2 linked regions of the Saccharomyces cerevisiae S288C genome follow. The protein of the gene in region 2 binds, or shares a complex with, the protein of the main gene of each other region. Each region holds a gene or a part of one and is shown on either strand. Other genes may lie near its edges.

Region 1 (3,047 bases), on a different chromosome or scaffold from region 2:
AAGAAAGGAAACAGAGTCAATGTTAAAAAATATAAATAATTCCAAGTCAAAGATGATAGCCCTTTGGTATCAAAGCATAAACATTGCGCGCAATGTATGTATGGCCAAGGAGCTACATAAAACGCTTCGCTCTTAATTAGTAAATATAATAATATTTTTTTATTTAATTATACATTAAAGAATAAACAAAAATTAAAAAAGAAAAGGCAAATATTTTGAATAGTAAATTATTTTAAATAGCTTTCTAATTTAATTTTAAACTCTCTTTCTGTAACGTCTGTCTCTTTGGGCAGAAACGTTGATAACAGATAATGGCAACTTCAAACCCAAAGATTTAACCAAGTCAGAAGTTTGGTTGTCAACGTTCAAAACACCGTTAGAACGAGACAAGTCCAAAGCAGAGACTTCTGGGACGTATTGGTCCTTTCTTTCTCTTTCTTCTTCTTGCAATTTGAAAGAGATACCTCTAACTGGACCCTTTTGGATTCTCTTCATCAAATGGGTGGTGTAACCAGCAATCTTGTTTCTCAATCTCTTGGATTGGATAGTGGCGATTTCATCACAAAGTCTCTTGTTGGTTTGGAAATCCAAAGTCAACTTTGGATAGTAACGTTCAATCAAAGCCTTAGAAGCACGCTTGACGGTCTTGGTTCTAACTCTACCCTATTAAAATGACGAAAAGCAATACAAAATAAAAAGTTTGTAAATGCAATTCAACTTGTTAGTATACTGATATCAAAAACACATTATAATGTGTAGAGGCAGTTCATGGCGCCATATTATCCCTTGTTCAACTATGCAAAAAGAAGATCCACAAGAGACTGAATCTCCGGTGATACTGCTATAGGCATTTTAACTCCCAATTTTTTGGAAAGCCACTGCAACTATAGCCAAAACATGAGTATCATTTCAATCACACCACTTTTTCGGTATCGCAGTTCCATATCGTCTGAAAATATCGTCATATGTTTTCTTTAACTTATTTATTGTATGACTTTATTGCGCATGTCGACTCAATATTACGTGTCCTTAAAAGCCTCCTTTAGTCCATATTAACATACCATTTTGTTATTGCTAGTCTCGAGATCTTGACTTTTCTTAGAATTAAGTCGATTAATGCTTGATTAATACCTAATTTCATACATATTACGCTAATATGCCAGTAAAAGCGATCACGACGATAGCTACAGCATGAAAGATTGGCTTAGGAAGCACCATTCCGTTGCCCACAGCAAGCCGGCTGAGCCCAGGCGCTGTTGCACGTACCCAACAAACCTCGTCTCTGCCATTGGTCTATTGTCCTCCTGGACAGGCCGCCTCCTGTGGCAAAGCAGATTCCCAAACGGGGCCAAAAAATTAAGTAGAACTCCCAGTTTTTTGGAAAATAAAAAATAGAATGTACGGATGTAATGCACGGATGTTAAACCGGAAAAAAGGTTACTGGGTCACCCTGGGATACCAAGAATGAGTCTCAAAAAGTTCGAAATAGAAAAGTATAATACAGAGGTTCCATTAATAATGGGGGAGATACATTCAAAGGACGCCAATGCGAATAATCTTTCGTTCAACTAGGGTGAAATAATAATAATGACGATAAAAAGAAATTTGGTGAAAGTACGTATCAGAGGATCGTCCCTCGCTCTTTTTCCATTTGGTTGTCGATTTTCTGAAGATGAATCCGTATACTAACATTACAACCATTTTATGCAATAGACTTTACAATCTATACGCTACCAAGCTACCACTGCCACCGCACATGCAGAATCCACGTTAAACCCTCTGCCAAACGCAGCCATTCCTCCCAAATACGCCTTAGTTACCGTTCGCTCCTTTCCATCATTAGAACCATTGACATTTGTGCCGGTCCCCACATCAACTGTAGCTGCTCCATTAAGGCGTGATATACTATGGAGAGCCGTAGTTTATGAAAACGATAATAGAAGAGTAGGCGCCTCAAATCCTCCCGGGAGAAGTGAAAACGGGTTTTCCAGACGTAAATTGATGCCCCAAAAGGGTTCTGGTAGGGCAAGAGTCGGGGATGCTAACTCTCCAACAAGACATAATGGTGGTAGGGCATTGGCAAGAACTGCACCAAACGACTATACTACAGAGCTACCATCCAAGGTTTATTCCATGGCTTTCAACAACGCTTTGAGCCACCAATATAAAAGTGGAAAGTTGTTTGTTATTGGTGGTGAAAAGGTCGACTTAATATCTCCCACACCAGAACTCGACTTGAACAGGCTGGATCTTGTGAATACAAACACAGTTGAGGGCAAAGAGATTTTTGAGGGCGAAGTCATCTTCAGAAAATTCTTGGAGGAATTTCAACTTAAAGGTAAGAGATTACTTTTCATTACAGACAAGACTAGGGAAGGGCTGATAAAGAGTTCTGATCCATACAAACAAAAAGTAGATGTTATACAGAAAGAACTTGTTGAGGTAAATGACATACTAAGAGCCCAAGCTGTTTTTATCGAATTGGAAGCTCTTGAATATCTAGCAATGGCCCATCAGAAAGAAATCCTTCACTCCGTGTCTAACTGATTTTCATATGTACACATACAAGTGACCCCTTCTTCTACCCCATCCAGTTATTATTCCATCTACATATTTAAAAAATAATCTGTAAATAATAAGCCCATGAAATATCAATCTCACAATGAAAGAATTGTATAATTCAGAATGATTTGACGTAAAAGCAAGTCTCATTCAAGAAACTGTAAAATCCGTACACACTACTGAATTTTACATCCATACATTTTTTTGAAATTTCATGTTTTTTTGAAAAATTGGAAAAGGGCTAAATTATCCGTCGGGGTGTCCTCCTAGCTCGGCTCAACCTAGGCAAATGCGTTTACTGGGGCCATCCAAGCTCATCCTTCCAGAGATTCGCCTTTCAGAGGCAAAGAACTCGTCTCCGCAGGCCTCTTGTTCCGGGAGGAGGAGAATTCTTGCGCGGAAACTGGTTGATGCCTGGGCTATGGTAATTCTGACACCTTTGCTATCCTAACTGGAAAAGGTCCTTAGTAATAACAATATCAGGT
Region 2 (2,629 bases):
TTGGAATGCTGTTTTCGAATCTCACCGAGCCACGTGGAACCTTTCACAGTTGATGGTTTTGGATGGTGTACTAGTCACATACCCGAGCTTCAAACAATTGAACAACGCCTATTTTATTGATGAATCCAGCAACAAAACTGCGCTTTATTACAGAAACTGGAAATTACAACTGTTTTCACCAATATGGGCGCAGCTATGGAATACTGCCATTGTCAGGGCTAATTTATCGATTCAGCATTGCCTTCTGATAGCATTAGCTTTACTTTTTAATCAGTCAAACCGAAGCGCCCTTTTGCATGGAGTTGACGTATCATGGAATTTGGTCACAGAGAAACTATTGGACCTTTTGGAAGAGTATGTACACGGCATTGTGCAGCCGATGGAAATTTTTTCGACTGATTCAGTCTTATCAACCAACTTGAATCATTTGGCCAGTTGCTTGACCAGTTCAATCACGAGGTCAAATGAGGCAACTTTGGTAAATTCAGTACGCAAACTAGAAAGGATATGTCGATACTTGTCCGATACTGTGGCTTCGTTGAAAGAACAACAACTAGATTTCAAGTTCCAAAATGTATTTATCCTGATAATCCTCGCGTTAAAAGAATTATCCGCCATGAATATGACAATACTGCCTAACCATAAAGACACTTTTTATTCTATGATCTGTTTAAGCCTTTTCCACGTCCACGTATTGACTCAAAAAATCGGGACAGTCGGTTTTCCCAGTTACGATTATGTTTACGATAATTTAGTAACGTATTTCATTGTCATGGATGACTTGTCTAAAATCACTACAGTTTTGGAACTAATGAAAAGAAACAACACCAAACAAGATCCAAATAAATTAGTGTTTTACATCAATTTTCTAAACAAAATTACTAATTACTATGGGTGTCGCATTCGTTTGCCGTTTATTACTGAGTTTATCGAACCTTTACTGCATTTCGATGTATTTTTTAGCGGGAAGACGGGCAATACCTTGGATATTGAAATCAAAGAATCTATACACACATTGACAATCACTGTACTGTCTATAGACTCCTCTTATTCCTCACAGGTTGCACAATGGCAAGTATCCCGCATACTCGTCTATTTAAAGATGTCGATGGACCAATTTATTGCAGGTAAATTGTCCGCAAATCAAATTTTACTTATATTCGGCCATCTATCCACACAACTTCCCTCACTACATAATTATAACAAGCATTTGCTTAGGGACTCTTTGCACGAGACGTATATCAGAATTGTTAATGTAAAAAACCCAGAAAAGAAGAATGTATTGATTGAATGTCTGATTGTACAAATAGCCTTTATCAACAATCCTCATCATTTGATCGGCTGGTTGAACATCTGTCTCCAGCTAATCAATACACATAACAAAAAGCTACTTCAACAATTGTGGGAAATGGTTTCGAGTCTAGAATCCTCCCTAGCCATCGACTGGTGGTACACAACGGTCTTATCAAGTCAATCTTCTAAATTATAGTATCATTAAGTACTTTATAGTAGCGCCTTTTTATATTCCTTTTTTCTCAAACAAAAAAAAAAAATGACTGGGATACAAGTGAAAGTGGAAGAGCAAGTGAAATACGAAATAAAGTGAACCATTTATACAGAATAGGAAAACCAACTAGTGCATTAAACTAAACTCCATGTCATACAAACAGTATTTTGATAGTTTGCCTTTGAAATTGAAGTCCTTTTTCCAAAGATACCCCCCTTCAATCAAGTATTCTCCAGTGTCTACATCTACTAAAGCCATTAATGCCAATCCTTTCCTGCCAAATAAACATCCGGTCACACAACGATTTCATGATCCGAAATATTCACTTAGAAGAATGAGTGACGTATATAAGTTGGCACTGCGTTATGGAGTAGAAGAGTTTTTACCACCGATCGAAAACACTAAGAAACTTTTCTTCGAGGAGAAATACAATAAAAAGACCCTCATGAAAGGTGTTCTCTTGCCCAAGGGTCATAAGCATGAATTGAAATTAAACGAAAAGCTAAAAAAACGTGAAGAAGCTTTAAAGAAGGTAGATGAGTTGATTGCTTCCAAGAAGGGTTCGAAGTATGCCAAGAGAGTAGAAAAAATGAAAAAAAACCAAAGTATAGGCTGGTTCTGAAGAATAAGAGAGAAGATAACTATAGTTTAGAATAGTAAACCCTATGTGTACTGTTTTATGTTTTTAATGTCTAATCATGTAAATAATTTTGTGATATCAATAACGAACGTTCTGAACAAGAATTATGATAAAAAAAAGTAAAATCTAAAGCCATTACAACGCTATATTTTCAGTGGCAGTAAAAACGCAAGAACAAAAACAAAACGTGGGTAAAGAACAAGGACTACAATGGCTGTCAATGAATTTCAAGTGGAGTCTAACATCTCTCCAAAACAACTGAATAACCAGTCAGTGTCACTTGTTATTCCTCGGTTGACAAGAGATAAAATTCATAATTCAATGTACTATAAAGTAAATCTAAGCAACGAATCTTTGAGAGGCAATACAATGGTAGAGCTTTTGAAAGTTATGATTGGCGCATTTGGTACCATAAAAGGTCAAAATGGTCATTTACACATGATGGTTCTCGGTGGCATTGAGTTTAAATGCATCTTAATGAA

What was found. Proteins that work in one complex are often made in the same cells at the same time.
Region 1: MRPL25 (region 2) and YML6 share a complex: the UniProt entries of both Saccharomyces cerevisiae proteins name them as parts of the mitochondrial large ribosomal subunit.

Annotation. Positions count from the first base shown.
Region 1 is NC_001145.3:223,906-226,952, reverse strand, and holds YML6 (mitochondrial 54S ribosomal protein uL4m YML6), read left to right. Parts: upstream 1-1,587; coding exon 1,588-1,614; intron 1,615-1,713; coding exon 1,714-2,547; downstream 2,548-3,047. Other genes in the region: 40S ribosomal protein eS17 RPS17A, read right to left, coding at 256-663, 1,062-1,064. UniProt on the Saccharomyces cerevisiae protein: Component of the mitochondrial ribosome (mitoribosome), a dedicated translation machinery responsible for the synthesis of mitochondrial genome-encoded proteins, including at least some of the essential transmembrane subunits of the mitochondrial respiratory chain.
Region 2 is NC_001139.9:636,604-639,232, reverse strand, and holds MRPL25 (mitochondrial 54S ribosomal protein mL59 MRPL25), read left to right. Parts: upstream 1-1,655; coding exon 1,656-2,129; downstream 2,130-2,629. Other genes in the region: PEX8 (Pex8p), read left to right, coding at 1-1,489; U4/U6-U5 snRNP complex subunit PRP38, read left to right, coding at 2,358-2,629. UniProt on the Saccharomyces cerevisiae protein: Component of the mitochondrial ribosome (mitoribosome), a dedicated translation machinery responsible for the synthesis of mitochondrial genome-encoded proteins, including at least some of the essential transmembrane subunits of the mitochondrial respiratory chain.